Linked DNA regions of Danio rerio. The protein of the gene in region 1 binds, or shares a complex with, the protein of each later gene. Links are inferred from orthologs where the notes say so. Each region holds a gene or a part of one and is shown in the gene's direction. Other genes may lie near its edges. The genes, in order: exosc1, exosc3, exosc4, exosc6 and exosc2.

The links.
Region 2: exosc1 (region 1) and exosc3 share a complex: the UniProt entries of both Homo sapiens proteins name them as parts of the RNA exosome core complex. The link is inferred for Danio rerio from reciprocal best matches to the Homo sapiens genes EXOSC1 and EXOSC3.
Region 3: exosc1 (region 1) and exosc4 share a complex: the UniProt entries of both Homo sapiens proteins name them as parts of the RNA exosome core complex. The link is inferred for Danio rerio from reciprocal best matches to the Homo sapiens genes EXOSC1 and EXOSC4.
Region 4: exosc1 (region 1) and exosc6 share a complex: the UniProt entries of both Homo sapiens proteins name them as parts of the RNA exosome core complex. The link is inferred for Danio rerio from reciprocal best matches to the Homo sapiens genes EXOSC1 and EXOSC6.
Region 5: exosc1 (region 1) and exosc2 share a complex: the UniProt entries of both Homo sapiens proteins name them as parts of the RNA exosome core complex. The link is inferred for Danio rerio from reciprocal best matches to the Homo sapiens genes EXOSC1 and EXOSC2.

The regions. Positions count from the first base shown.
Region 1 is NC_133176.1:58,182,497-58,189,326, reverse strand, and holds the start of exosc1 (exosome complex component CSL4), read left to right. Parts: upstream 1-2,159; 5' UTR 2,160-2,172; coding exon 2,173-2,200; intron 2,201-3,490; coding exon 3,491-3,606; intron 3,607-3,708; coding exon 3,709-3,783; intron 3,784-4,724; coding exon 4,725-4,813; intron 4,814-6,398; coding exon 6,399-6,432; intron 6,433-6,822; coding exon 6,823-6,830. UniProt on the Homo sapiens protein: Non-catalytic component of the RNA exosome complex which has 3'->5' exoribonuclease activity and participates in a multitude of cellular RNA processing and degradation events.
Region 2 is NC_133189.1:58,543,525-58,550,354, reverse strand, and holds exosc3 (exosome complex component RRP40), read left to right. Parts: upstream 1-2,396; 5' UTR 2,397-2,407; coding exon of another isoform or gene 2,408-2,641; 5' UTR 2,642-3,153; intron 3,154-3,348; 5' UTR 3,349-4,034; coding exon 4,035-4,307; intron 4,308-4,760; coding exon 4,761-4,912; intron 4,913-6,097; coding exon 6,098-6,305; 3' UTR 6,306-6,473; downstream 6,474-6,830. Other genes in the region: tcerg1a (transcription elongation regulator 1a), read right to left, coding at 1,646-1,692. UniProt on the Homo sapiens protein: Non-catalytic component of the RNA exosome complex which has 3'->5' exoribonuclease activity and participates in a multitude of cellular RNA processing and degradation events.
Region 3 is NC_133177.1:2,082,044-2,088,850, forward strand, and holds the start of exosc4 (exosome complex component RRP41), read left to right. Parts: upstream 1-3,020; 5' UTR 3,021-3,075; coding exon 3,076-3,246; intron 3,247-5,346; coding exon 5,347-5,553; intron 5,554-6,807. UniProt on the Homo sapiens protein: Non-catalytic component of the RNA exosome complex which has 3'->5' exoribonuclease activity and participates in a multitude of cellular RNA processing and degradation events.
Region 4 is NC_133182.1:29,203,254-29,208,881, reverse strand, and holds exosc6 (exosome complex component MTR3), read left to right. Parts: upstream 1-3,090; coding exon 3,091-3,906; 3' UTR 3,907-4,031; downstream 4,032-5,628. Other genes in the region: slc38a8b (putative sodium-coupled neutral amino acid transporter 8), read right to left, coding at 1-97, 2,103-2,164, 2,938-3,347. UniProt on the Homo sapiens protein: Non-catalytic component of the RNA exosome complex which has 3'->5' exoribonuclease activity and participates in a multitude of cellular RNA processing and degradation events.
Region 5 is NC_133180.1:78,503,836-78,510,539, forward strand, and holds the start of exosc2 (exosome complex component RRP4), read left to right. Parts: upstream 1-2,253; 5' UTR 2,254-2,319; coding exon 2,320-2,447; intron 2,448-4,854; coding exon 4,855-4,956; intron 4,957-5,200; coding exon 5,201-5,246; intron 5,247-5,354; coding exon 5,355-5,444; intron 5,445-6,154; coding exon 6,155-6,220; intron 6,221-6,660; coding exon 6,661-6,704. Other genes in the region: spra (sepiapterin reductase a), read right to left, coding at 1,153-1,456. UniProt on the Homo sapiens protein: Non-catalytic component of the RNA exosome complex which has 3'->5' exoribonuclease activity and participates in a multitude of cellular RNA processing and degradation events.

The DNA.
Region 1 (6,830 bases):
TTTAGCTGTATTTAGTGCCAGTAATCCACCACTGCACATTTCAGAAGATGGCACTTGTGTTTGTCTGCTGTGGCATTTCATTGACGACTGTTGCCAGGCACCGACATATATTAATGATCAAGTGGGCTGCGTTTATTTCCCGGTCTTCGTGTGATTCATGTTTTTTTGTGTCGCTGCTCCGAAACACCCACAGAGATGATCTGGAAATATCCCATAATTCTCCCACATCTAGAGTCGAGAAGTGAGTTTTGCTTGGTGATTTGTGTATTAAAATGATTAGTCACTGATTATGTGGTTAATGTCGATGTATGTCGAAGTCCTGCTGTCGTTTGTGTGATTATAATAATGCATTTTGAGCCCGCAGATGTTCACCTTAATAATTCAATATTGAATATTGTGCCCCAGAATAATAATGACACTGTTTTTTGTTTGTTCCTTTAGTATTTTGCTTGTAAGTTATTTTGCTTGACTGAAAGACGAGAGTTGTGTGTTACAATGTGCAATCCCTAATAAATATTATTGGCTTACGCGAGCAGAGATGTGGTGTTAATGTGATTTTTTTTGATTTGTTGTTCATTTTTTTTTTTTATAATCATAGGACACAAACATTTATCAATGATGTAAGAAAAAACATAATGACTTATTGTAATAATAATAGTAATAATAAGACCTTCACATTTTTTTGCGTTTAAAGTCTGAACAGTTGCTGAAACTTTTATTCCAGTATGTCAATTTACTTCAAACTGAAAATGAATATTAAGTAGGGGGCGTGGCTTTTACATCATTCCCTCATAGCAAACAAACAAAGGGGGCGTGGCTAAGATTATTGTGGCTGAAGCTTAAACTGATGTCATCAGAAAATGAACCAGTCCAAATGCAGATGCTCAGACTTTGAATATTACCAAAACAAACTTTTTTCAGCAGATTACTGTGCACGGATTACATGTTTAACCTCAGAATAACAATGTGCGCTAGCAAAATAAACATTGTAAATTTCGATTTCACACAGACTTTTAAGTGATTTTTTTGTTAGTTGTATTAAAGCTATGGCTAATTTTTAGAAAGGCAACAGTAACTCAAATAAGCACCTGTCACAACCGAGGTCTGCAGAAGAGCATTTCTGAACACACAACACGCCCAATCTTGAGGCAGATGGGCTACAGCAGCAGAAGACCACACCGGGTGCCGCTCCTGTCAGCTAAGAACAGGAAACTGAGGCTACAATTCACACAGGCTCACCAAAACTGGACAATAGAAGATTGGAGAAACGCCGCACGGTCTGATGAGTCTCCATTTCTGCTGCCACATTTGGATGGTCGGGTAAGAATTTGGCATCAACAACATGAAGGCATGGATCCATCCTGCCTTGTATCAACAGTTCAGGCTGGAGGTGGTGGTGTGATGGTGTGGGGGATATTTTCTTGGCACACTTTGGGCTCATTAGCACCAAAAAAACATCATGTCAGCAGCCAACAGAGTATTGTTGCTGACCATGTCCATCCCTTATGACCACAGTGTACCCATCTTCTGATGGCTACTTCCAGCAGGATAACACACCATGTCATAAAGCGTGAATCATCTCAGACTGGTTTCTTGAACATGACAATGAGTTCACTGTACTCAAATGGCCTCCACAGTCACCATAACTCAATCCAATAGAGCACCTTTGGGGTGTGGAGGAAAGGGAGATTCGCATCATGGATGTGCAGCCGACAAATCTGCAGCAACTGCAGGATGCTTCCATGTCAATATGGAGCAAAATCTCTGAAGAATATTTCCAGTACCATGTTGAGTCTCTGCCAGGAAAGATTAAGGCAGTTCTGAAGGCAAAAGGGGGTCCAACCCTGTACTAGGAAGGTATACCTAATAAAGTGGCCAGTCAGTGTATATTCTCTCAAAACGTTTACATTTACTGCCACAATACTCTTTCGTGCTCTTTTGTTACATTTATGTATTAGAAACTAATGTGTACCATAAATATGTACTCATTTGTATAATTGTTTCATTTGTATTCATGATTTATGTATCTAACGTTAATAAAAAACTAAAAAATATACTGCCACAACAAATATGGCGGTTTGCTTAACCCACACATGCTGAACTGACCAATCAGAGCGCGAGCTCCTGTCAGACTAATATCCAATCACAAGGCTCATCTTGCTTCTTGAAAACATGTCGCCCATGAAGCTGTGTGTTCCAGGTGGGTCGCTGTTATTCACATGTTTTTTGGGGGATTACTTTTATGTTTGGCGTCTTATTGCTGACATATCTTGGCTATGTGTTGATCCTTTATGCATATAGTGACATTTTATGAGCTTTGATGTAAGTTGCGGATAGTTTTGCGTCTCGAAGCGTTCACGTGTACTGCTGTAGGGCTGAATCGTCAGCACGCGCGACTGTTATGACGCTGTAAACAAGTCTCATGTCTTCGACTTCAGTCAACATATGCCAATAAAGATGCTATTTTAGCTGATTGCAAGCACACTGTAAATAATCGCGTTTGTGGATGAGTTTGTGGGGTTTAAAGACTCGTTTGGCGAGCCCTGCCCACCGCCCGGGGCTGTCATGCATACCTGCCCTCAAACACTCGCTCTTCTGCCTCTACACGATCCGCTGACGCGATCTGCTCTCATCACTTTAGGCTTGATTTGCTTCAGGAAATCCAGATTTATGATGTTTATTTGTGGACTGCATTTGTAGCTGAATATAATTGCAACTCTTCGTTTAGTCGGGAGTGGAAAGTCTCGTAATCACTTACTAGCTAGATATGCACTAGTGTAAATGTATATACACTTATATACACTTAGCCAGAGCTTTTGTGTAAGAGGTTTTGTTTTAGTTGAAATGTAAACCTGCTTGTTTTTGTTAATGGACTATTTTGTTGTAATGCATTTATTTATTATTATTTTATCATTCTATTATTTTATTATATTTATTATTTTATTTTTCATTATTTAAAATAGTTATAATATTTGACATATATTGACATTAAGTGTGTGTGTGTTACAAATTGTATATAAATTTAAATATCTATCTTTTCAAAACTGTTTTTTATGTTTCACATGTACATAATATATACATGTTTAACACACGCACATAAAAATACTACTGAAGAAAACATTAAAGGAAATACTTTGAAAATGCCTTTGGTCTATTAAACATGGTCTGGGAAATATTTGAAAAATATGAAATATTGAAATATTTCACATAACTGTACCTTTATCATACTTATTTCTTGGCTGAAATAAGCATTCATAGTAAACAGACCAAATCTCATGTCCTAATCATAAAGTCACTATGTTATAAGTTTATTACAATTATTATGCAGTTAATAGACTAATTTTAACATGTCAGCTTGAGGCCAAACTGTGGATGTGTTTGTGTTCGTCATGGCTTATAGACTCTCTATTATGACAGCAGTACTGTACATGATTTATGCATTTTTCTGTAGCATGCCTCACGTGTGTGTGTGTGTGTGTGTGTCCTGCAGGCGAAAGGCTTTGCAGCACAGAGGACTGTATTCCTGGTACAGGCACGTATCTGCGGCACGGCTACATCTTCGCTTCACTAGCAGGATACGTGCTGAGGAAGAATGAGGGAGAGGAGGTCAGTTCACCTCTGCTGCTCTCATGCAGATTAAATTTCAGCTTAGAAGTCCATGTTTCTTCATAACCGAGTACTTAATTTTCCTCCCGACTTGATTTCTAGTTGCCGGTGATTTCAGTTGTTAGAGAGACAGAAGCGCAACTTTTGCCTGACGTCGGTGCGATCGTCACCTGTAAGGTATATCGGTTTTGATATATCTTAATCTGTCACATGTGTCTTTGTTAGCCATTTACAGATTATTACGAAAGTTGAAGAAACACAGTTTTTGGGCAATAAGCTCATTTTACAGCTCTCCTGAAGTTAAACAAGTGAGTTTGACCATTTTTGAATCCATTCAGCTGATCTTCAGGTCTGGCTGGAGCTCTTTTAGCTTAGCTTAGCATAAGTCATTAAATTGGATTAGACCATTAGCATGTTGCTGCAAACATTATTTAAACATTTATATGATATTCCAATTTAAAGGTTGAGTTTTCTGTTGTTACATTAAGTACTAAGACTCACAGAAAATGAAATGTTGCTCTTTTTTTAGGCTGATTTGGTTATAGGGACTATACACTCATTCCGGCGTAATAATCAAGAAACTTTGCTGCACCATGGATACAGCAGAAACAATGATATTATGCATCGCTGTTACCCTGCTGGTGTTGTTTTAAGGTGCTTTTCATCATCATTGGTCCTGCTTCACTCATTGGTACAGCGGCAAATTTCTTTGTTCATACACCAGTATGAGAGTATAGTTCCTATAACCAAATTGGTCTAGAAAATAGCAACTTTTAATTTTTCGTTGGTCTTGGTACATGATGCAGTTATAAAAGGGTCAAGCTTTAAATAGGTAAATGATCAAAACTCCTTACTCAATTTTGCATGAAATGCTAATGGACTAATCTGATTTAATGATCTATGCTAAGCTAAACTAAACGTGTTCTGGAGATCGGCTGAATTGATTCAAAAATGGTAAAACTCTTGGAGAACTATAAAATGAGCCTTTTCAATAAAAGTAAAGTGTTCCTTTAAGGTTTCGACTGCATGTGTGTTGTACTTTGTTCAACTGTAATTTATGACTGTATTTATGTATTGAAAGTGTATTGAATATGCATGTTTTTCCTCACCCTTTCCAGGTGACGAGTATCAACCCAAGGTTTGCTAAAGTGCACATCTTATATGTGGGTTCGACACCGCTAAAGGACAGGTTCAGAGGCACAATCAGGTACAGATGTTTGCATATCAGTAAATCTGCTATTATAATATACAGTGATCCCTCGTTAATCACTGGAGTTACACTCTAAAAATAACCTGCAATAGGTGAAATCCGAGAAGTAGTATTATTGTTGTATTATTAATTATTCTAGATGTTTTAAGGCTGTGAAACCCCTCACGACACTCCTTTTTCCAGATAGGCATTAATATTTTCACACTTTTCTTTCTTGTTTAAACATTCCCGTAACTTCTACCATACTTAAGCAGTTCAGAAGTTTTACTTTTTGTGAGATGGTTAGCATCTTCCTTTGCCTTTTGTGTGCTAACACAGGTAAATGTTTCGTCGATATTATTGGGTTTGTTGGGGAGAAAACTTGCAAACATGAAGTACAGCACTTCTGAGACACACTGCTAACGATCGAAGATTTATGTAAATTTGGCAAGCTGAATGCATTCTAAGAGCTCGTTTCTGTGCCTGACGATCAGGTTGTCTTGGTCTTAACCTTCTACCACCACCCATTCCACAACGCACCGGCCTCTTAAGTCTCCCCCTGCATGTGGTGCAGGAGGAGGGTCCCACATTGCTCCTTCAGACTAAAACCCATGGGAAAAAACCCGGCCACCAGGCGCTTGCATACGAGCCCCAACCCCAGGCCTGGCTCCAGGCTGGGGTCCCGGCTGCGCCATACCGGCGACGTCACGGCCCTTAATGTTTTTGTACTCATAAGGAGTTTTTGAACTGCAGTTAGTCTGACCTGTTACCAAAGACCTTTTTGCCTTGGGAGATCCTACCAGTAGCATTAGCCCCAGACAACAGAAGTCTTAGGATCACTCAGGCACTCCACCACGATAAGGTGGCGATTCATAGAGGAGATTAACCGATCAATCTATGTTCCTACTTTCACCCATGGTCATGAACATTGGGTCATGACCGAAAGGACAAGATCTCGGATACAAGCGGCCGAAATGAGTTTCCTTCGCAGGGTGCACTCTTATGGATATGGTGAGGAGCTCTGTTACCCAGGAGGACCTCGGAATAGAGCTGCTGCTCCTCCACATTGAGAGAAGTCAGCTGAGGTGGCTCAGGCATCTGTTTCGGATGCCTCCTTGACGCCTACCTAGGGAGGTGTTCCAGGCATGTCCCACTGAGGAGACTTCTGGGAAGACCCAGGACATGCTGGAGGGACTATGTCTCTCGGCTGGCATCGGAACACCTCGGAATCCCCTCAGAGGAGCTGGATCTGGGGTTCTCCCCTAATACTGCTGCCCCTGCAACCTGGCCTCGGAAAAGCGGCAGAAAATTAATGAATGAGTGAATGAGTGCATTTTGTACTGTACAGGAGACGAGACAGCGAGGAGCTTATTTGACAGTGGTCTACAGCCAATCAGGACCCATAACACAATGCGCTGATCAGGAGGCAGAACACAATTCACTGTAAATAAAGCATGTCAAATTGCAGGAATAAAAAAAATCGGCGCGAAAGGTGAACCGCCTTACAGTGAGGGATTACTGTATATGAAATTTGACTTTAATAACTTGTTGTGTAAATATACGAAGTCAGATCTGCTCAACTCTAATGTTTTAAATTCTGTAGAAGAGAAGATGTGAGAGCGACAGAGAAGGATAAGGTGAGTTCATGGAAAATATAGATGTTTTTATTTATATTTAAATATAAAGTATTCCTCAATATGAGTAGTCAAAAAAAAGATATGGGTTAAAGACAAAACATATTCTGGTGTCTGCATCATTAAATTTACAAGAAAAAAAATATGGGTTTTAAATATTAGAAAAATGTTCAGTTTGATTGTTATATTTAAATATCCAGTGGTTTGAAGGATAATGGAAAAGAATTGTTAAAAATATATATTAAAACTATAAAAATGTAAACCTGTAATGCTCTATTTTTTAGATAGAACCTTCTATCTTAAGGTCATGCTAAAAATGTATCCTAATTATAATATTTTGACCCTTATGCAATGCGATGTATTGTGTTTCTGAAAATGTGTTGTTGTTCTCAGGTGGAGAC
Region 2 (6,830 bases), on another chromosome or scaffold:
GGAGAAGAGTCGCTCACTGTAGAATAAACATGATTGATTTTATTTATTTAATATTTTCACATTTAAGAGAAAAAAAGTGTCATTATGGATGTGACAAATGTGAAGTTGCCACTTGTATGACTTTGCTAAATCAAATAGATTAGTTTGTACTGTAAAATACTTGTCCAAAAAAAAAAAAAAAAACGGTTTCGGTATTTTGAGGAAAACTTAATTTTCTTCATGGCAAGGTTGACATTTGCACGGAATTGCTCGTATATATATATATATATATATATATATATATATATATATATATATATATATATATATATATATATATATATATATATGTATATATATATATATATATATATATATATATATATATATATATATATATATATATATATATATATATATTTGGCATGGGACGACTCAAGGTATACCATGGTTTGGGAAAGTCAAGGTTTTAAAACCATGAAAATTTTCCGCTATCCCGTTCCTAAGGTATAAATAAGATTTCTTTTTTTTTTTTATTAATTTTTGTTTTGTTTTTAAGGACAGCAGTATCTCCAGCAGAAAATATAATCAAAGATTCTGTTTTAAACTGGAAAAATATTAGTGTTTATAAAAAAACAAAGACTGCAGAAGTGAATGATTCATTAAAATGATTTAGCCTGACATGTTTACTGCTCTAAAATATTTTAAATGTTTCCCAAAATAGAATATATATATTAAAAAAGGAAAAAAAAGTTTAGTTTTTTAACCAGAGATTTAAAAAGTAAATATTTCAGAGCAGTGAGCACAATAACATGATACTGTGAAACCGTGATATTTATGTCCAAGGTTATCATACGGTCAGAAACTAATACCAGCCCATGCCTGATACATATCACCATAAACATGACAGGCAGCGAGTCATATCATAGCATCATGTGCAGCTCTACTGTAGCACTGAGGAAAAATTACTTAAATCAAATAATTGTTGTTAGGAAACTGGCAATGTGACAATTAAAAAAAACACAAGTGGCTCAAGGAACATGTCCATGTGTTGAAGGAAATCCTGCATATCCCAAAAGCGTCAACAACTCATTTTCAGCCAAAAGCAAAGTTCCAGCCTTTTCACAGCACATCACCTGCATTAAAACACCGTAACGCGACACTGTAATCCGTTACTTTCGAGAGAAACTCTCCCCAACACTGTTAATAACAGATACACACACACCATAAACACGCTGAAGACGAGCAGAACACACACTTTAACCCCAGATACTGATGATGGAGGAGTGTCTGCACTGACTCCTGCATTGCTGAAGGTGTTCATTACAGTACACCTGAATCTGAAGCACTGACTCCATCATAAACACACTGTCCAGCTGATCTCACAGCCACATCACACCCTCTACACACTGACAGGGTTATTTCTGAGACTCGGTGTGTGTCCTCAAGCTCTTATTCTCGGCGGAAACTGCGATATAAACACAGTGAGGCGACTGCTGCTGTGCTGCTTTCATTGTCCACCCTCCGACGGGCCAGACGAGGCTAAAACCCACTCAAATCTGCCTTATTGGAGACGAAGCCCAGAGGAGTTTCGGGATAAACTAAGGCGAATGATAACCGGGGGTCTGTGTTTATCTGAGAGGGAAAAATAAAGCGAAAACTGCACCTGTTTGCAGCCAGGCCGATGCCTTCTGCCTCTGTGTGCTCCGCCATAACGGAAATGCCACAAAAGTCCCCATTTCCCGCTCAGCGGTTTTCAAACTTCTGAAACATCGTGACTTTTATTTCCAGTATGAATTATTTAACTTAACTGGTAAAAAATATGCATTTTTCGGTATAGTCCAGTAACTTGGCCAACAGTTTTGGTTACCAGAACGTTCCTATTTAGTTAAAGTTATTTTAGTTATAGTTTTAGTTTAATTAGTCCCAAAAATAACCTAAATTAAAGGGGAAGATTTGTGTTAGCTGGAATGTTAGCACGTTCTCCCTCTCTTTATCCAGTTTTTGATTTATTGATTGTTTTTACGATTTAATTATATTTCGTTTTTAAAAACAATCAAAGACTAAATATTAATAAATGGGGTAGATCTCCTTAAAATAAATCCTGCCATCACTTACTCAACCGTTAACGTTACATGTCCCAAACCGGTTTAATTCCATGTCTCAGTTGAACACAAGTTATTTAAGCGTTGGAAACCAGTAACGTTAACTGTTGACTTCAATAGAATTTATTTTCTTATAATGGATGTCGATGGTTACCGGTGTCGAATGATATTAAGAATGCTTTTAGAAAAATCTTTATAATATATTTCTGTTGTGGACATAAAGGGTTGGAGAGGTTTTAATGAGTTAATTTGTATAGGATAAGAGTCCCCGTGCCGGAAGTGCTCAGACACGTGTGTTTGTGTGTGTTTTCCGCTCCTCCATCATGGACTCCTCAGTGCACACTAGTCTGCTGGAGAGGATAGGAGATGTGGTTCTTCCAGGCGATCTGCTGTTCTCCTTCAGTCCTCCTGAAGCCGGAGACGCGAACCCGAAAGCGGACAGGCTGATCTGCGGCCCGGGGCTGCGGCGGAGCGGAGCGGAGATCCGTGTGTGTAGAGCAGGAGTCCTGAAACACAAACAACCCAACATGTACTGGGTCAACTGTCAGCAGAGACGGGTCAGAACACACACACACACAACATGTGCCAGCACACACTATTGTTCAGAAAATTCACTAACACACACTACAGGGCAGAAAACACACAATAACACACGCTACTAGCCATAACACACAACCTAACACACACTACTAGCCAGAACACACAATACCACACACTACTGGGCAGAAAACACACAATAACACACACTACTAGGCAGAACACACAACCTAACACACACTACTAGCCATAACACACAACCTAACACACACTACTGGACAGAACACACAATAACACACACTACTGGGCAGAAAACACACAATAACACACACTACTAGGCAGAACACACAACCTAACACACACTACTAGCCATAACACACAACCTAACACACACTACTGGACAGAACACACAATAACACACACTACTGGGCAGAAAACACTCAATAACACACAATACTGGGCAGAAAACACTCAATAACACACACTACTGGGCAGAACACACAGTAACACACACTACTGGGCAGAACACACAGTAACACACACTACTGGGCAGAAAACACACAATAACACACGCTACTAGGCAGAACACACAACCTAACACACACTACTGGGCAGAACACACAATAACACACACTACTGGGCAGAAAACACTCAATAACACACACTACTGGGCAGAAAACACACATTACTGGGCAGAAAACACTCAATAACACACACTACTGGGCAGAAAACACACATTACTGGGCAGAAAACACACAATAACACACAATACTGGGCAGAACACACACATTACTGGGCAGAAAACACACGTTAACACAATACTGGGCAGAAAACACACTCTAACACACACTACTGGGCAGAAAACAAACAATAACACACACTACTGGGCAGAAAACACAACCTAGAACACACTACTAGGCAAAACACGCAATCACACACACTACTGGAAAAAAAAAAACACACCACTAGGCAGAAAACCCAACCTAACACACACACTACTAGGCAGAAAACACACAATAACACACACTACTGCCAAATTGGTTGACATCGCCCAACCCTACTAAATAAATATATATATATATGAGTGAGAGAGAGAGAGAGAGAGAGAGAGAGAGAGATAGAGAGCTGTATACTACGTTTGGTCTATATAAATCATTTATTTTAGTCATCTTAAAGGGTCAGTTCACTCAAGAATGAATATTTACTCCCTTTCTCAGCGTATTTTTAAACCTTTACATGTTTCTTTTTTTGTCAAACACAAGAGAAGATACTTTGAAGAATGCAGAAAACCGGTAACCATTGACTTCCATAGTAGGAAAAACAAATGGAAGACAATGGCTCCAGGTTTCCAGCATTTTTCTAAATATCTTATTAGTGTTCTGAACGGGTCTGGAACAAGTAAAGGGTGAATAAATGACAGAGTGTTCATGTTTGGGTGAACTGGCCCTTTTTAACACTGCACAGGTCAGGATGTGTCGTGGTGCTCCTCTATCTGTGCTGAAGGTGTTCCGGACTGACCTCTGCTCTTTCCTGCAGTATGTTCCAGCTAAGGGTGAGAGTGTGATCGGCATCGTGACCGCAAAGTCTGGAGACGTCTTCAAAGTGGACGTTGGAGGAAGTGAGCAGGCGTCTCTGTCCTACCTGGCCTTTGAAGGAGCCACCAAGAGGAACAGACCCAACGTGCAGGTACATGATGACAGAGCCACTCCAGCAGCAACAACTCATGATCAACAGTGAAATGACAGATCGACCCACAGGGAAGCAGCAGCAGTCAGTAATGCAGGATGATCTGCTGTCAGGGCTTCACCGTCAATAACTGTGATTATAATGGAAGTGAATGGAGCAACAACAGACAACATAACCAAGCAGAGTCAGTGTGAACACACACACACACACACACACACACACACACACACACACAGTGTGAACAGTGTGTTGATGAGTTATGAAAACTCTCACAGCATTTCCCCATAATGTGTGTCAGACTCAGATTATTCAGCAGAAATCATCACATTTACTGAAACACAGAGAAAGAGGACAAATGAAGACTCGACATCAACCCAGAGTGGAGGAAAACAACCCAGCAAAGTCGTGTTCGGTGTGTATGAGTCCTCCTAACGCTGCTGTTTGCTCCTCCAGGTTGGAGATCTGGTGTTCGGGCAGTTCACCATCGCCAACAAGGACATGGAGCCGGAGCTGGTGTGTATCGACAGCTGCGGGAGAGCCAACGGGATGGGTGTGTTCGGAGGCGACGGGCTGCTCTTTAAAGTGTCGCTGGGACTCGTGCGCAGGTCTGACCTACAGCTACACACACACACACACACACACACACACACACACACACACACACACACACTCAACAGCACAGGCAGCAGGGAAAATAAGAGTTATAGAAACACACTTGTGAAGCGGACGAGTGTTTAAACACAGTGTCTGGTGTATTAGGACAGGTCAAGCCAGCACACACTACTGATCAGAAAACACACACTAACACACACTACTGATCAGAAAACACACACTACTGATCAGAAAACACACACTACTGATCAGAAAACACACACTAACACACACTACTGATCAGAAAACACACACTAACACACACTACTGATCAGAAAACACACACTAACACACACTACTGATCAGAAAACACACTATAACACACACTACTGATCAGAAAACACACACTAACACACACTACTGATCAGAAAACACACACTACTGATCAGAAAACACACACTACTGATCAGAAAACACACACTAACACACACTACTGATCAGAAAACACACACTAACACACACTACTGATCAGAAAACACACACTAACACACACTACTGATCAGAAAACACACACTAACACACACTACTGATCAGAAAACACACACTAGTGATCAGAAAACGCACACTAACACACACTACTGATCAGAAAACACACACTACTGATCAGAAAACACACACTAACACACACTACTGATCAGAAAACACACACTAACACACACTACTAATCAGAAAACACACACTACTGATCAGAAAATGCACACTAACACACACTACTGATCAGAAAACACACACTACTGATCAGAAAATGCACACTAACACACACTACTGATCAGAAAACACACACTACTGATCAGAAAACGCACACCAACACACAGTACTGATTAGAAAACACACACCTGTGTGGAGCACACTTATGCATCATACTGTTAGGTGTAGCAGTGTGTGTGTTACTATAGAGATGGGTCTTTACTCTAGTGTTGAGCGGAGAGAGTGTGTCTGAGTCTCGGACATTATCAGGAAGGCTATACCTGAGTTTAGGAGCCATAAATGAGAAGACTCGATCTCCTTTAGTGGACTCTGCTATTGTCGTTACTAGCAAAAGCCCTGAGTTTAGAGAAGTGAACATGTAAATGTGCAGTTATTAGTGATGATCGAGCGCTTGTGTGTGTGTGTGTGTGTGTGTGTGTATGTGTGTGTAGGCTGCTGGCTCCACAAAGTGATCTGGTTTCGGATCTGGAGAAGATGTTCCCCTGTGAGATGGTGGTGGGCATGAACGGCAGAGTGTGGGTGAAGGCCAGAACCGTCCAACACACACTGATCCTGAGCAACCTGCTGGAGGCCAGCGAGAACATGAGCACCGCGCAGAGACACACACTGTTCAGCAGAGTGGCGGACGGAGGAATATAACACACACACACACTGTTCAGGAGGCCTGTCGAGGGGAATAACACACATAACTAGAGCTGTGGTAAAAACTGTCGTCTCTCAGAGCTCCACTGATTCTGATATTTCTATTTGTCTGCTTTTTTTGTACAAGGAAGTTTTTGTATGAAAATTAAACCAGCTGAATCAGCCGACCTGTGTGTGTTGTTGTTGTTGTTTATTTAGTCAGTTATAAATGTTTTTTTTGTTAAATATAAAATAAGATACTTTGAAGAATGTTAAAAAAATTAGTAATGTCTAAAATAAAAATGACCGAAAGTGTTGTTGTGGTCCAGCAGGAGGCGCTGCTGTGGTAAACACCATCTGCTCTACTGTAGATGCAGGAAATGAGTTCAGATGTTTGGACGGTGGCTGTATAAGCAGCGTCATGTATATGAGTGATTGAGGAATATACTTCCTCTTGTGAGAGTGCGAGAGATCATTTACTGATGCAACCTGTTAGTTCAACCCAGTTTATTTCTGTTGTGAACAAGAATAACAACAGTGCAT
Region 3 (6,807 bases), on another chromosome or scaffold:
TTTTGCCATTTTTGTATTATTATTTATTTATTTATTTATTTATTTTCTTTGTATTTTAATTTTCATTGTTTCACTATGTCATCCAATGTCATGGTTGTTAATGTGATTGTATTGTTAAAACACAATTATATTTAAAAAATAATAATTTAGCCACGCCTCTTTTACAGTTATGAGGGTATAATGCACAAATATAAAGCCCCGCCCCCTACTTAATATTCAGTCTGAAGTTCATCACCATGCTGAAATTAAAGTCTCCGCAACCCGGTTGGCATAAGACATATTTCACCCAACAATGAAATGTAATTTGCTCACTGAAGATGTAGGGGCCTTTTTTCCTCATTTACACAATAAATTTTTGTTTAGTCTTTGGTTATTTACACAATGGCACCCGTTTCTGAGATTATTACATTTTTACTATTTTAAGCTGGTTATTGTCACACACTGTTAACACACAACTTCATTTAAACCCCTTATAAAGTGATTTTGCATGCTCTAATCCTGCACATTCATTTATTATGCTTGTTTTCTAAATGTATGCGCATGTGGGCGTTTCCAGAAAAAATAAATACCAAAATGTGCATAAAAATAGGTTGATGGAAACATAGGTAATGTCTGATGAAAGCAGAAAGGGTTGTTCATTCACACTGTGAAAAGCAATGAGTTGAATTTACTTTAAAAAAAAAAAAAAGTGAGTACACCCATTGCTTTTCAAGCTGTTAGTTGACTTTAAAAATTGAGTAAACTCATTTTCTTTTCGGCTTAGTCCCTTTATTAATCTGGGGTCACGGGTGACTTAGTCTTCACAGACAGCGTGACCATCCTTCTTGAAACTCACAGATGGTCATGGCGTGACCAAAGTATAAACCAACTCACACGTCTTTCTCGCCTTTAGCCATTGCAACCAATAATTCCAATATAGGCTGGCGCGCGCAACAGGAAGCGGGAGACGCATCTCTACAGCAACCTCTCGCCACACAACCTCTCCAATGCGGCGCCTCGTGATATTTGCTAAGAAGTCATATCAATTATATTCATTATCATTTGACAGTAGCGGAGGAACGCCGCCAAATGTAGCGAAGTAAGAGTGATGCTGCGTTCACACCAGACGCCGAACACGTATCAAGCGCGAGTGATTTGCATGTTAAGTAAATACAAACGCACCAATAGACATCCTGCAGCGCGATACGTGCGAAAGGTGCGGCGCGAATGACGCGAATTGCGCGAATGGCACGATACGCGCGAATGGCGTGCTGCAATTTGAGCGTTTTGTGCATTAGACGCGCTTGGCGCACGTTTTGCGCGAATCACTCGAGTTCGAAAATCTGAGCTTCAGCGGACATTCGCGCCGCGTTAACCAATCAGACACCGACAAAAAGTCATCAAATTGGGCTGGGCTCAGTCAGAAGCACCGCTGAAAGCCTCCGTCATCCAGGTTCAGTTTCTGGAGAAGTTTATGAGCTCACAGAACTGGATGCACGTCTGAAAGAAACTAGTGGACTCAGAAACGTATCGACGCTGTTTTTCAGTCTTCATAAAACACATAAACACTGTTATTTTCTTCATACAATCTATGTTAGCCATTTAGCTATGAAGCTAGTCACCGGGCAGAAAGAAGCCCTGCCCATCACGGGAATCCGCGTCTGTTGAATTGAATTTGACATGCGAATGAAGCGGATTTGACGCGCGAATGAAGCGAGTAAACTCAAATGTTCACGCGGCTATTTACACGCAAATAGCGCAATTTATCCGCGCATTCCGCGTCTGGTGTAAACACGGCATAATGATTTCTCTCTTATAATTTACTTGAGTAAGAGTAAAAGTAAAAATTTTTAAATGTTCTCAAAAAGTACCCAACAATTTTACTGAATTAAATGTAATGAAGTAAATGTAATTTGTTACTACCCCCCTCTGCTGGCTATATAATTTGCGATCTCCAGAAGTGTATACAGGGCTACGTTTTCAGAATGAGCCTATGTTGGATGTTTATTTCATGCACATGATTCTCACAGCTGCTGTCTAGTGAAAACAGGTTTGGTGGGAACTTTCCCAGTGAAACGTATCATCCATATCACTCTCAATACAGGCTTTTATTGACCAGAGTCTGGTTTTACACCTTTGAGAAGAAATGAGGGCTGACACTCGCTCTAGAGTTGCCAACTTTCCTATATTTTGGGCCACATTGATTTGTGCCGTACAGGAAAAATCTACCTTTTCTCTTTTTATTGAATTCTGTGCTGATTTATTCATACCACCGTGCTGATTAAGACTGGAGAATGATGATTCTATGAGGGAAACTGCTGTATTAAAGTCCCTGTAAAATCAAAATAGGCTATAATGCACAGCTAGTGTTTTCGGCTACCGATAAACTTCTGGTGAAATGTTAATGTGACTATTTTTTATTTCATACAGTTCCTTTTACAGCATCGATGTTGTAATGTCATTAAAATATAACTGGTTAAACATATTTAAGCATTCATTTAGTTGTTGAAGCCTAAAATAAGATGAAAAGCTGACAAATCAAACACTGTCTTGAGCAGCAGGCGAGCGCAGAAACTCCATTATAAATCCTGAAGTAAAATAAAAGTCCCTATAAAGACTACAGAACAATGTTATTTTAATGCATTGTTTCTTGTTAATTCTGAGACCCAATTTACATTGTAAATCATTATAATTGATTTTTTAAAGGAAAACAGATCTAAAACGCTGCGATTTTGTAACAGCAGTTCATTGGAAGCGCTTGTACTGGGTTACTAAAAATTAAAAGTCCTGCTGCATGTACACTATTAAAGGTGTTAGTGTGAATATGTTAGTCTTAATGTGCTTTAAAACAACAATAAGAAGCTACAAATATTCAAAGATTGGGTTTAACATAAGTAAGCTAACTCTGCCATCTAGAGAACAACCTAAAATACAGTATGAGGATTACTCGCATTAGTGAGAACTCAAATTAATCCAGCAGATGGCGGTAGAAGATACACAAGGAAAGCAAAATCCACAGCAGAAGAAGACCTGTGCGGAACAACAAGAAGAAGTTCATCACACACACGCGTGTTTTCAGTTAAGAAGCGGAGAGATATGGCGGGTCTGGAGCTGCTGTCGGATCAGGGTTACCGACTTGACGGACGGAAAGCGACCGAGCTGCGGAAGGTGCAGGCCCGCATGAGTGTGTTCGCGCAGGCCGACGGGTCTGCTTATCTGGAGCAGGGCAACACTAAAGCTCTGGCCGTGGTGTATGGGCCACATGAGGTGTGTGTTTGTGATGTCTTGGGTATGATAACGTTACAGGTATTACAATGATATGGTGAATTATGAGGACATGCTAATAATAAAATGCGACACACATAAATCTCTTTTTTTATTGAATAACGTTACAAGAATAATAAAATCACTGCATTGAAGAAAAAATACAATAACAAAAAATAAGAAAGGAGAGAGAGAAATAAAAAACACAGCATCAATCAAGAAAAAAGATTGTCATAAGCTTTAAGAAACTTATTATTATTAATAAGCTTAAGAGATTCAATATTGTACGAAATTTCAACAAGGAAAGTATTAAAAATAGGTATTGTTTGTATAAACTTATTTTTCGTGTATAAAAAATTTACAGTGTAACACAAAAAACCAAGTGTGCCGCAAGCCTACCTTTGAGTGAAGGTTTCGGCCGTTAGATCGCCCCCTGGGGGCTGGCTGCAGTACAAGTCATAAAGCCCGCCTCCTCCGTGTTAATGAAGGAGACTTGAGCCCAAATAAAAAAAAAATATTACACTTGCAATAAAATGTCCCGAAAGATAGTTCTGGTCGATTAAGGCACTGGTTATTGTGCTGAAATAGGTGCAGATCCTCATTTTTGTAAACAGTTTGTTTTTAGCAGTAATTTAATGCTGGGCGTGTCATCGTGATTGACAGCTGTGATTGACAGTTTCTCAAAGCAGCGCGTCTGAGCTTCGGCAGGAGACTGAAGTAGACTGAAATGTTATTATTCGATTTCTGTGTTATTTTACCGTGACAAAATGAGTTCAGCAGTAAACTACAGTTTCTGACATACATGATCCTGGTGGAACACTGTTTATTCGCTAAGTTCAGGGCTTTTTTCGGGCTTTATTAGTTTGCTGATACACGCCTAGCCACCCAGATAGCAAAACACAGTTCCGGCTAGATTCTCGCCTGCCGGAGACTTATCTCTTAGAGCTCAGACTGACTAATGTTACCTCTGCTGGACCTACTCCGGATGCCTGGACTCACTACCCAATTCCAGCCCGAGTCAATCGAGCCAGATGCGGCGGCCGAGCGAGCCGGCGCTGCCGCATGTGAGCCGGAATCAGCCCGCGACGCCGCGAGTAAGTTATGTGTTGCGGCCTGGAGCTGGCGCGATTGAATATATAAAACCCTCATATTTGTTAACGTTATTACATCCATTTGTGTTGATATGACAGCAAACGCACGCTGAGCAGTTCGGGGGGCGTGGTTGATTTTACATAAAGCGTTTGGTTGGAAGCTCGACTCCGCTCATTTTCGCGGCTCCTCCTCTGGCTCCATCAGACAGTCCTTCTGCGCATGTCTGGCTCCAATTTCAGCAGTCTTTTGCGACAGTTTGTGCCCGTCAAGCAGGCGTTTTGCCCTCAAGGCGTTCAATGGGAAAAAGGGCTGTCGCGTCGTCCATATTTTTTACAGTCATTGCAAAAAACACATAAATCTCACAGACATCATCAGAATGTATTATGATGTATTTAACCAATAACTGTATACCCTGCTGAAAAATCCAGCTTAAACCAGCCTAGGATGGTTGGCTGGATTTAACTGGTCGACCAGGCTGGTTTTAGTGGGTTTTTGGCCACTTCCAGCCATTTCCAGCCTGGTCTTAGCTAGGGCTGCTCGATTTTGGAAAAAATCATAATCACGATTATTTTGGTCATAATTGTAATCACGATTATTCAAAACGATTATCAGTTGAAGTCAAAATTATTAGCACTTTATCCTAGGCTGGTTCAAGCTGGATTTTTCAGCAGGACTATATATGAAACTGGGAATATTTTCTCTGTCAGTGGTCAGAATGTCAGTGGGATCTCATTTGTTATTATTTTTAAAATAAATTAAAACAAGAACAACACATTTCCGTATGTTTTTAAGTATTCGTGGATTCAATATAATAATATAATTCTTAATTAGTTAAACTGTCTAATATAATTGATTAAAATGGTGCTGTGAATAATAGACAATAATTATTACAAAACACTCAGGCCAGAATCTCTGCAGTAACGTTGTCCAACGTGTCGGTTATGTGTAACATCCAATATTTTATCATCGTTTAACTGAATAACATGTTGGAGTTCATCTTTGTCCCTGTAGATTCGAGGCTCTCGCAGTAAATCCTTGCATGATCGCGCCATCATCAACTGTCAGTACAGCATGGCCACGTTCAGCACGGCGGAGAGGAAGAGACGTCCACACGGAGACCGGAAGTCCAGCGAGATGAGCCTCCACCTCAAACAGACCTTTGAGGCTGCGGTGCTCACTGAGCTCTACCCACGCTCACAAATCGACATCTACGTCAAGGTACATGGACTTCTTTACGTTCATGCCGTTTATCATCCATCCACTCACCTGCCCAATTTTGCATCCACCAATCTCTGCATCAGTCGTTGATCTATTCTTAAATGCCCCCATGCATCTGTGCTTTCATTCATCCATCACCGTAAATCATATTGTATATTGATACTGAGTGCACTTTGGATGTTTTTAAAAACGTATACCAAATCATCCACACATGCATCCATCTGTGCATCCATCCATGCATAAGTTAATTCACATATTTGTACACATCTTAACATCCAGTGATCCATGCATGAATCGATCCGTCCATCATCATTCAAGCACATCCGTCCAAGCCTTCATCTGTTCATCCACTCATCCATCTGCTCAGTTGGTCATATGTCCAACCATACATCCTCCCTGGATTCTATCTGGAAATTCATCCATCCACCCACACCACTATCAATCCATGCATTTATTCAGCCATCAATCCATGCATCCACCCAGTTATCCATCCCTTCATGCATCCGCCCAACTATCTATCCATTCATCCATCCACCCACCCAACCATAAAATCACCAAGCTATCAATCCTACCCTTCATCTACCCACCCAACAGTCCATCCACCCACCCAACAATCCATTCATGCATCCATCCACCCAACAGTCGATCCAACCATTCATCCACCCAACTGTCCATGCATCCACATAAATATCCATCCATCCATGTATACACCCCACTGTCAATCAACTCATCCACCCACCCAACTATCGATCCAACCATTCATCCACCCAATTAATTATCCATCCATGCATTTACCCACCCAACAGTCCATCCATCTATGCATTCCCCAACTATTCATTCATCCAGCATACACCCACCTACCCATCCATCCACGTACCCAACTATCCATCTATCTATCCATCCACCCAACTATCCATCCACGCACCCAGTTATCCATCCGTCTACCCACCCAACTCCATTCATGCACCCACCCAACTATTCATCCATCCGACTTTCCATCCTCCATCTGACTATCCATCATCCATCCGACTATTCATCCATCCAACCACCAACTTTCCATCCCACCAACCACCTAACTCCATCCATGCACCCATCCAACTATCTTTCCATCCAGCATACACCCACCTTCCTATCCATCCACATACCCAACTATCCATCTATCCATCCATCCACGCACCCAATTATTCATCCATCCACCCACCTAACTCTATTCATGCACCCAACTATCCAACTATCCACCAACCCAAATTCATT
Region 4 (5,628 bases), on another chromosome or scaffold:
AGTCGTGGGACGTCCGAACCCCGCGCAGGTTTTGAGAGCAGGCTGATGCTGCGTATACTCTCCCGGGCCAGTTCCTCCATCCTCAGCGCCTCAAGACCTAAAAAATGTGATTAAAATATACTTAATGGAAAAGTATTACGATTCTAAAGTCCCGCTGTGTTCTTGGACGAAACCAATGTGAGAACCTTCTGGCAATAACGGAACTCTTCAGGCCTGTGTCATACGCATCAGCACTTGTCTGGTATAAAACACTGTTCTGAATCGTATAGCAGGATTGTCTCAAGTAAGATCCCTTAAAATGTCATCGCAAGGTGTGAAATATTGTACAGACTTGCTAGCGCTTGTAACGGTTGGTTCCGAGTCAGAATGATTGCTTCTCTGAAGTTGCATGTTAGGAGGAATTGTCTTGATTTGACAGAGGAGCGGCTGCTTCTGTGGCGAATTTGTCTAGAACTGCAGGAATTCACGGCAGGACGGGGATATTTTTGTAAGGACGTGAAACGCTGTGGCTGAATTTAATTAGTTTTACGACCCTCTTCGAACCCTTTGAGCAAACTCTCGTTTGAAGAGCTCACTCGAGGCACGTGTCTCTCTCGATTACTGAAGTTGTTTGTGAATTTTCAGCTTGCTTTTTTATGGCATTTCTCAAATTTTAGAGTACGGATAAATAGAACTTTTATCACTTAATTCATACAATATGCATACAGTTTGCATTATAAACTAATATTAATTTAGGAATATGAAGTCTTAAAAAATAGATGGAAGGGTCAATAATTTGGCCTTCTCAACTCTTAGACCCTTTAGCCTATACTGAACTTTTAAGTACTTGCTGTAATGTTAAACCATGCTTGATTCATTCATTCATTTTCTTGTCAGCTTAGTCGCTTTATTAGTCTGGAGTCGCCACAGTGGAGTGAACCGCCAACTTATCCAGCAGGTTTTTACGCAGCGGATGCCCTTCCAGCCGCAACCCATCTCTGGGAAAACCATGCTTTATGATGCTGTGCAATATTTATACAATCTATTTTATTAAATGTATTGGTATTGGTGGCGGATGTGGTGTTGTCGCGAACTGAAGAGCGTAGTGGTGGACATTGGGGGACATTGTTTCACAGTAATGGGTTGCAGCTAGAAGGACATCCGCTGCATAAAACATACACTGAATAAGTTGGCAGTTCATTCCACTGTGGCGACCCCGGAATAATGAAGTGACTTGGCCTTTTTGCGCTGTGGCAACCCTGAATTGATATAGGGACTAAGCCAAAAAGAAAACACACATATGGGGGTGCTTGGGGTGTTTTTTGTTGCCAGTTTGATTGGGCCCCCAAATAGTAACTCTGGGGGTCCAAAAAGAGTGCATCTTCCCTGCATAGTTCTTAATCGTTCTAACCTTTTCCCCCTGGCGACGCCCCTGCATATAGCCAAGTTTCATGAGTTTCACTCATTGTGATTAAGTATTTTTATAAGATCCAGCTAGAGAGGCCCATGGACTGTACAATTGTAATTAGCCTAAACCTACAGTGCTCAGCTTATATAAGTACACCCCTCACAAATCTCTCTTTTAAATTCATATTTGTAATAGGAAGCTGTACAATATTATATTTGTGCATATACAATAGATTAGTCAGTTCTGAAGCCTATCCAACAAAATAACAAATTTTTTATGATACAGAAAAATATTAAATACAAATTTTAAAAAGAGGAAAAATCAAGAGAAGCAAAAAATAAATAAATTTTGTTGAAATTGTGTAGGTTGTAATTTAATTTTTTAATGTTTCACTTGAATTTAATTGTATAATATTTTAACTTCTAAATATGTTTTGTGACTAATATATTATTTTAATACATATTTCTGTTTATTAAATCTGTTTTGTTTAAAAGCACCAGGATTCATTGCCTATATTCACTGAGAAATGGATAAAATTACAAATTTTCAAATTGGGCTGTACTCAATTATGCTGAGCACTGTATATACTCAACTGCCACTCAAAAATTAAACGAGCTATTTACATACAGTAGAAAACTCAATGCATTTAGTCATGCCGACTTTGAGGGAAAGGGATGTGATGCATTGTTGATGGCAGAAGTCAGAGGACATTTACCTGTTTTGAGCTGAAAGGCAACAGTCAAATAACTCTCTTCAGGCAAGATATGCAGACCATCTCTGAATGAATACACAACATGTCAAACCTTGAAGCAGATGAGCTACAGCAGCAGAAGAGAACATGATGCTACTCCTGTCAGCAAAACAGCAAACTTAACCTAACACTAACATGGTTTACCGAAATTGGACAAAGGAAGCTTGAAAAACTGATTAGGTGAGTCTTGATTTCTGCTACAACTTTTGTGGAGTCAGATTTTTGATCTAAACAACATTAATGCATGGATCCATCCTGTCTCGCATCTTCAGTTTAGCCAGCTAGTAGTGTAATGGTGTGTGTGTGTGTGTGTGTGTGTGTGTGTGTGTGTGTGTGTGTGTTTGTTAATTTGTGCTGCTATGTTGCTTCTATATGCTGTATCGTGTAACTGCTATCATTTTGATTCTGTATTGGGCAAATGTCTTCTGTCCAACTTAATTATCTGTCTTGACTGTCTGACAATGGGAAATGACTGTTCGTTGTGTTGCTGCTATTGTAAAATGTCCACATTATTTCAACAGTTGGTATTTACATTATTAATGGTGTGAAGGATGTTTCTCTGCATACTTCAGGCCTATCAAAAGTAATAATACAAACAGCACCGTGTATTGAGCTATGGTTGCAGACTGCAAGTCACATCAGTGTTCGACTATCTACACTGCAGCAAAATAGTAATATCCAACGTGTTGAAAAATGGCTAAACTAGGTCTACATTACGTCTGTCAAATGAACTATTTCATTCCTGACTTTAAAACATGCACATCACATCTAACAAAGCATAATGTCTTTGCCACAGCACATTTGCCACGTTATCCCTATCCGGCAGAGGGCAGCAGCGCGCAAACAGCATTTGATTGCAGCATCCCGAAGCATTTGATTCCTCGAGGAAGACTGAGTAGTTTCACCGCTGCAAAGTAAGCTATGCTCTCGTAAACACGTGGGTTTATTAAAAATGCCGGTTGACACAAAACGTATTCGTGGACCGGAAGAGTCGCAGTCCCCGTTGCTCTTTCTGTCCCCGGACAAAGCCCCTAAAGCCCCCAGCAGCAGGCAGGGCGTCCGCGGGAACGGAGATGTGCGGCCGGTGTTTGCGCGCTGCGGGCTAGTCAGCCAGGCGAAAGGCTCCGCGTACATCGAGGCTGGAAACACCAAGATCATCTGCTCGGTGTACGGGCCGAAGGAAACGGAACGAAGGGACGAAACGGACATGAAAACCGGTCGGCTGGTTTGCGACTTCAGGCTCGCGCCGTTTTCCTGCGTGAAACGGGGAGCCTGGATCCAGGGCAGCGAGGAGAGAGACCTGTCCGCCACTCTGATGGAGAGCTTGCGGCCGGGAGTTTGCCTACACAGATACCCGCGCTCTCAGATTGACGTGAATGTCATGGTTTTGGAGAATGACGGCTCGGTTCTGGCGCACGCGGTGACCTGCGCTTCGATGGCCCTGGCGGACGCCGGTATCGAGATGTACGACATTGTTTTGGGTTGCACGCTGCGGCAGAGCGGAAACGCGTGTCTCGTTGACCCGTCATACGCCGAGGAGTGCGGGAGCTGGCAGGAGGGCTACGGAGACAACCAGGGGTGCGTCACCTTGGCTCTGCTTCCCAATCTGAATCAGGTGTCTGGCCTGAATGCGGACGGGGAGATGCGGGAGGACACTCTGACCGAGGCTATGAGAACCTGCATGGACGGCTGTCATAAACTCTACCCGGTGGTTCAACAAGCGCTGACGCGGGCTGTCAAGAAGAAAGCGCCTCCGCCTGAGAAATAGACTTTTGTTTGGCGCTTCTTTTTGAGAACAGTTAAAATGATTACAATTGTTGAAATTTTGTACATTTAAATGTGTAATAATGTCGAACCAACTAAATAAACTCCTCTGCAGTTTTATCTCCTCTATGATCTTGTATTTGTTCATTTCAGTGGTGTTGCTGATTTTGTATTCAGATTATTTCCCCCTAAACGAAAATCTCCTGTCGCACCCTCAATGCCATCCATGGTGTAGATCAGGGGTGCCCAAACTTTTTCTTATGAGGGGCCAAAAAAGTTGATTATAGGTGGTGAGCTGAAGTTAAATAAACCAAAGTATTACATTACAGTTGCCATGGTAATTACCTTATTTATTAATATTTAAAATAAATTGAAAGAATACTGAAATCATTAATAATTATATCTTTTTTGCATTTTATAATGAACATCTTACAATAAAAAAACAATCCTCTTTATAACAATAATGTTCACTGCTGAATATATTCAGGACACTTGATTTGCTCATCAAGGACTCTTACTTTTTTTTTTTTTAAATGTGATTCATGCACAACATTTAAGTGAAACTTTTAATTTCAGTTGCTTTTTTTGCAACCCAACAATTAAATGAACAAACAAAAGGTTACATTAAAATTAGAAATGACAAGCGCGCGGCATGGCACCAACCTTTTCATCATTCTCCCTCACTTCTCAGATAGGATGGCAGGCCGTAGTTTGGGCATCTCTGGTCTAGATGGCTTTTTCCTTTAGTAGAATATTTAAGATATTTAGATGAAGCCATTGCCCATGGTCAGTCGTAAAATGCAAGTCAGTAGCTTGCAGCACTTTCATAGTCTGAAAAACACAGGCAAAACAAGTTAATACCCGTGGTTCTTTGGGTTTCTATGAAATGAATCAACTGTTCTGTGCTAGAAAGTAAATGTTATAAGAATATTACCTTAATCTCTGCAAGATGCACAGACTCTGTGTTGGTGGCCGTGACTAGAACTATTATTTGAATCACCATAGGACATCTTTAATTAAGTAGACACCTACTTCTTGGATAACCCAAGTATGAGCAACCAGCACTTTTTTTATTTATGAGGTAACTGCCCCTTTAAACAGGGTTACCACGCTTCCTAAAAGTACTTGAATTTCAGACAAATAAATTCAAAACAGAACAAAACACTGAGAAATTTAAATTCTTTCATTTCAATATTGCACAATAAAACTGACAAATTAATGCACATTCAAGTTTTTTTCAACATCCAAATCAAATCACTTTTATTGTCACATAATGATTTGATTTGTTAAAAAAAAACATGACTGTTAAAAACGATTCATTTTTGAAAATTACTACATTTAAGCATAAATATCTAACAACAAGTCTAAGTGAAATACTAAGTACAGTTGGTGTATGATTTACAACAGCGATTTATTTAAAATTAATGGTGCTTTAAAAAGTACTTTAAAGTCTTTGAATTTGCTGTTTGTGGAAGTGTGGGAATCCTGTTTAAAGAACTGAAAATGAATCAGTAATAAAAAAAAAAAGGTTTAGATGTTACTATCGGTATGTTAGTCTTAATGATATCTGTAATCTAGTGTGCTCCAAAACAGTGACAAATTTGGCAATTAGAAAAAAACAAACAACCAAAAACGAACCTAAATGGATAAACATTTTTTTGACGTCACTTCAAACTCCAGTGTCTAATCGAGAGGGGTCTGGCTGCAGACCTGGTGCAGTGCAATC
Region 5 (6,704 bases), on another chromosome or scaffold:
TTGCATTTATGAGGAAAAAGCTTTGTTATGGATGTGACATCTCTCCATTATGGATGTGACGGATGAGCAATGTGACTTTGGTAAATCAAATATAATAGTTTGAAAACACAGACAATTACATTTTTGAGTATTTTTAAAGCACTGTAAAATACAAACACACACACACAAAAAACGCAGAAACAGGTTTACTCTTTTGGCAAAATATATAAAGAAATATATTTAGATGTATATATAAATATATATATGGAAGAGATCTTAGTCCAGCACTTATAAAACTCAAGCACTTTAGGAACATTTGTTGTCCTTCCTTGTGCAAGGTTTAAGTTATTTCATCACGGGGTAACATTTAACTTTACAGAGATGTTACGTTTCCTCACACCAAGTAATGATTTCAAAACAATCTCTATACAACACTAAATGTATCCACAGACATAAACAACCGAAACAATCACATCAACAAACCATTGAGATAACAAAGGATATATTATACATTGAATGCTTACCACTGAACTGAGGTTTAGACATGCCTTTCTCTTTGGTCTGTAGACAAGCGGTTTCACGTTACGTTAGGCTCACCTTATGTCAGGTATTCAATAATAAAAAATAAATTTTACGTTACATGGAATTATTCGATAACAAGACGAGAAAGTATAGCTATAGTGAGTCAGGCCGTTACAAAACGACGGTTGATTTTTAAATGAAGGTTTTGACCGTTAGAATTTAGGCGCGCAGAACAGAAATTCAAATAAATGTGAGGTTTTGATGCCATCTAACGTTCCTCATTATTACTGAGTAAATCATTTATGACTATTTTAATATTTAACTAATTATTCCACATCTTGATTAATTTAAAATTTTCATAAATGCTGTATTTACAAATTTAGTTCTGTAATTCTGCAAAATATAGCTCATGAATTACATGAAAACAAACATCAAACATACAAAACAAATCAAATCATAAAGGTTATGTATGTTTTTTTTTTTGTTTTTTTTTTTTACGTGTCCCCTCTTGAAGTTCTGGGAAAGTTGTTTTATGGTTGGAAAAAAAGTTAAATCTAAAAAGAATTCGCAAAACGTTATCTTTGGCTTTAAAAAACTAACGTTAACAGGAATCAAAATCTAACGTTAAGGGAACGTTGAGTGTTCTCTGACCGGCGTTATGGAAGAGCAGCAGGTGCTGGATGTCCGGCTGGATATCTCTGGTCTCGGCAATGAGTTTTTCCACTCCTGCTTCACAGCCCAAATCCACCGGGACGCAGCGGACGGTGAGGCCGGTCTCCCCGCGGGTCAGCGCGCTCTTCAGCTCCAGCAGCTGCTCCTCCGACCGAGCCGCGAGCACCAGTACTGAGCCCGGAGATACACGTGCCGCCACCGACAGAGCCAGAGCTCGGCCGAAGCCCCGGGATGCCCCGGTGATGATGACCAGTGCTTTCCCGAATCCCGAAGCCGTGCTCATGATTCCCCAAGGACTGACGAGAAGAGCTGCCGAAGAACCGGAGAGTTCAGCATCGATTAGTCACGCCTCCGGAAGACACGAGAGACCCCGCCCACTTTATGGTTTATTAATAAAATAATAAACTGTGAAATAGAAAATTTATGACTCCAGGAATACACAAAAGAGTAAATATAAAACAAAACAATAGACAAATGAGTGAAAATAACAAACAATACTGTAAATGGGGTTAAAAGAATGCTAAAAACATCAAGAAATAATTAAAGAATCAGAACAGTGATAAATATATATACAATAAATCTATACAAATTTATATTAATAAATATATACAAATTTAAACAATTTACTAGATACAGTAAATATCTAGGCCACGAGATCAATTCACACAATAAAACAATACATAAAAGATATTTAGGTGTATGAAAATGTGTAAATAGTAACAAATATAATAATAAATATAATAATAATAATAATAATAATAAACATAATAATACATGATTATTTATATAATCTCATTCTTTTAAGAACCTGTGTTTACACAATAAAAGAATAACAAAAATAAATGTAGAAAGCAAATTGGTTCTGAAAAGTATAAAATTATTTTGTTAGAGCATATAATGTTAACTTAATGTTTTAATGTATTAAAGTTTTGCTATATTGTCATTTAAAATGTTAAATATAAAAAGTCTCTTAATTCTCGTTACAAAATAAAACCTCACACATTGTATAACACGAACTTAAATCGTTATTTAATGACCAAATTCAGATGATTAGATGCTCAAACCGAACACGAACACAGTCGGGCTTTTATTATGAAGTGGAGCCGTGCTCGCCGCCATATTGCCCGGCTATAGTGTTGTTGAAGCATGGCGGTGGAGATGCGGCTTCCAGCGGTTCACAAACACGTTTCCCTGAAAACAGGACAGAGTTCCCGCGAAGACAAACACCTGGTTGTGCCTGGAGATGTGATCACCTCCGACACGGGCTTCATGAGGTACACAGACATTAATAACTGGTATTAACTGAGCTGTTGTAGAATAAATGTGTGTGTGTGTGTGTGTGTGTGTGTGTGTGTGTGTGTGTGTGTGTGTGTGTGTGTGTGTGTGTGTGTGTGTGTGTGTGTGTGTGTGTGTGTGTGTGTGTGTGTGTGTGTGTGTGTGTGTGTGTGTGTGTGTGTGTGTGTGTGTGTGTGTGTGTGTGTGTGTGTGGAGTGAACTCGTTGAGACCTGCAGTCTGTCAGTCTGTAGCGGACTTGATTGAGAACTCAAGTTAGTGTATGTAGTGTATTTGTTCAGTGTTGGAGAAAGTTACTTTACTGACAGACTCTTCTGGAAAGTAACTAGTTGCGTTACTTTTTACGGTGACGCGTTACGTTACTTTTAAAATACATTATTTACATGTGTATTGATTGAGGTAAAGTTGGTTTGTATTTGCACGTTCGTTCATTTTTGAACGGTGATAACTTGTGACACGTTGCCTGTATTGTACTTTGAGTATTCGGTCTGAAATCGCATGTAGTTTGACTTAAAAACAACATCAGCACTATTTAATTGACTGTAAACAATGTTGTACTCTGATAGTCATTGGCTGCTGATATGAGTTCATTATTAAAATTTGTAAAGATTACTTTTTTGAAACTGTATTATTAAGAAGAAAGTCTGAATGTGCCAATATAAAACCCACTTTACCTCAATTGTGGATTGCTGTAGCAAAGTAATGCTTCACAACTCTGAAAAATCAGTCATCAGATATAAATACTAGAAAGATTTTAAATGATATATTATTTGATAAAAGTGCTCTATGTTTAGACTGTAATATTATGCTTTAAAAATGCAACCGCAAACATTCCCACAGGTTGTAGGGTTAAGGATTAAAACTTGTTTAAATGGCCTTTCCAGCGATTATATAGTTTGTCATGATTAGATTAGTATTTAAATGCAGTATAGTGAATTAAACTTAATCGTCCTGCCACTGAGACGTTGATTGTTAATGGGTTAAAACAGAACCTCTAATGTGCCAGTAAAACATTTCAATAGCATTGACTAACAAAGTCACCAAAACAGAACTTCACAGTCTGCATAAGAAGTCCATGCTTTATAAACGTCAGGGACTAGTATCATAGAGTTGTAATGATAGGATAAAGTCTGCATGAGAGCGATTATGCATTATGGATGTGACATTTTAACAGTGCTGTAAAATACAAGCCTACTCAAAACACCGGGAAAGGGTTTGGTGTTTTTGTGAAGAATGTATTTGTTTATTTTATGGCAAGGTTGACATTTGCATGGAATTGCTCAAAATCTAAAAGGTCCAAGACAAGTCTAATATTATTACTGATGTGTCTAGCTCTTACAAAGCCGGACTGTGTCTCCACAATCAGCTGACTGATTCTTTATCTTTAATCTGTTAGGAAATATCAAAAATAAATTTATCGTCAACAGTGATGAGCGTGATGGACACCAATTATCGGTTTGGGAACACCTCGTTTCATTGATGATGTCTTGTCTTGTCTATTAGATCAATGCATTCATTATACATCCAAAGCAAAGGGTTTTTAATTAATTTGTGGAAAGAGCATACCAATCTTGACGGATAATCCATCATTGCTGGGAGATTTACCTTTCTTCATGGACGATTCGAACTTTCTCCAAGGTCAAATTGGAATCAGAGTATATTAAATTCAGAACTGGATCATGCGTTTCCATTTTATTTACAAAAACAATCCTTACATTATCTGTCAAAAGCAGAAGTGTAAATGTTTTACTAAAAATCTGTAACAAAATTAACTATTAATTAATTTCCGAGTGCCCCAACTTTCTCTTTTTGCGTGCACTCTTGCGTGTCTATATCTGAAATAATAAACCTGAGCTCATGGTGAGAACTTGTGTGTGATTATTAAAGTATTTTTCACATCCATTTAGAAATGGCCAAACATGAAAGTCAAGCTTAAACAGCAATGTTAATATGGCTTAATAAATGTTTTATAGCAGTCTAGGAATAGAATCATAGCTTGTGATGTTTATAGTCTGCATAATCGAAAAGGTCTAAAAAACTGTAATATTATTACTGATGTGTCTAGCTCCTACAAAGCCGGACTGTGTTTCAGCAATCAGCTGAAATCTTTAATCTGTTAGCAAATATCAAGGCTAAAATTTTATTGTCAATAGTGATGAGCGTGATTGCACGCTAATTATCTAAATTTTAGATCAATGCATTCATTATACATCCAAAGCAAAGGCTTTAATTAATTAGTAGAAAGAGCATATAAATGTGCCGGTCAATCCATCATCGCTGGGGTGAAACAAGAGCCCTTTAAATTTTGCTTTACTGTCTTATTGAATGTGAAATTCCAATTGTGCGAAGATAAAAACCGTTTTCATCTGACTTCACCTCGTCCTCAGGGGTCACGGCACCTACATGGATGAAGACAGACTCACCGCTTCAGTGGCAGGACAGGTGGAGCGAGTCAACAAACTCATCTGTGTGAAACCGCTGAAGACCAGGTGCACACTGACTTACACTAACGCCACAGCACAGGTCTCAAACTAAATTCCTGGAGGGCCGCAGCTCTGCACAATGTGCCCCAACCCTGATCAACTGTGTTTGATTGGCTTGGAGCAAAACTGTGCAGAGCTGCGGCCCTCCAGGAGTTAGAGACCTGTGCACTACAGTATAGCACACTGCACTTCACTAATGTATAATGCTGTGGTAATACTGTGTTCTAGATGTGATGTTCTCCTCCTGCAGGTATAACGGAGAGGTGGGTGATGTGGTTGTGGGCAGAATCACTGAGGTCAGTGGTGTTCAGTAGTTTATGTATAAAATCTCTCGTTGTTGTTGTTGATGATGATGATGATGATGATGATGATGATGATGATGATGTGCATCTCTAAATGTTAAGGTGCAGCAGAAGCGATGGAAAGTGGAGACTAACTCGCGTCTGGATTCAGTGCTGCTGCTGTCGGCGGTCAATCTGCCTGGAGGAGAGCTGGTGAGCTGGCAACACGCATTCAAGGGGCAGTTCACACACAACTCAGTTACAATACTTTAATGAATGCTCCCGCACTCTCTACCATTAACTATAGTGGACTGATAAATACCCCGCAGTTGGCTTGTTTGTTTATATTATTATAGTTGTTGTGTTACCATAGCAACTGTAGAATTACCACATCAGAGCAATTACTATTGTGGTTGTGTTACCATAGCAACTGTAGAATGGCCACAACAGATCAATTACTATAGTTGTTGTGTTACCATAGCAACTGTAGAATCACCACAACAGATCAATTACTGTAGTTGTTTTGTTACCATAGCAACTGTAAAATCACCACAACAGAACAATTACTTTTGTGTTTGTGTTACCATAGCAACTGTAGAATCACCACAACAGATCAATTACTATTGAGGTTGTGCTACCATAGCAACTGTAGAATGGCCACAACAGATCAATGACTATTGTGGTTGTGTTACCATAGCAACTGTAGAATCAGCACAAAAGATCAATTACTATAGTTGTTGTGTTACCATAGCAACTGTAGAATCACCACAACAGATCAATCACTATTGTGGTGTTACCATAGCAACTGTAGAATCACCACAATAGATCAATTACTGTAGTTGTTTTGTTATTATAGCAACTGTAGAATCACCACAACAGATCAATTACTATTGTGTGTGTGTGTGTGTGTGTTTTTTTCTCAGAGACGTCGTTCCACGCAGGATGAGCTGGCCATGAGGGATTATCTGCAGGAAGGAGATCTCATCAGTGTATCCTCCACATTTACCGCATCAGACATTCATCATCCCTGGATATACAAACAGTGTTCTTACTGTAAAAATACAGTCATTTAAAATAGGTATCAGCATTGAAAGAAAGCTGAAATATATAATAAAAATGTTAGCTTTCTTTCAATGCTAATACCTATTATAAATGACTGTAAAATATGACCTTTTTTATTAGTGCTTGTTTAATAAATACATTTATATTTGAGTTTTGGAAATAAAAAGTCATTAATATTAGCACTTATTTGTCTAATTTAGCATGAATCATTTTTCCAGCCTTATTTATTTTTGTTAGTAAACCTATAACTAGGCATTACCTGGGAAAAATAAAATATAATATTTGCAAAATAGATCAAATGTCACAGGAGGCTAATAATTCTGTCTTCATCTGTATATATTCTACTGTATTCTTTAACGTGTGTAAGGCGGAGGTTCAGTCGATCTTCTCGGACGGCGCTCTCTCTCTGCA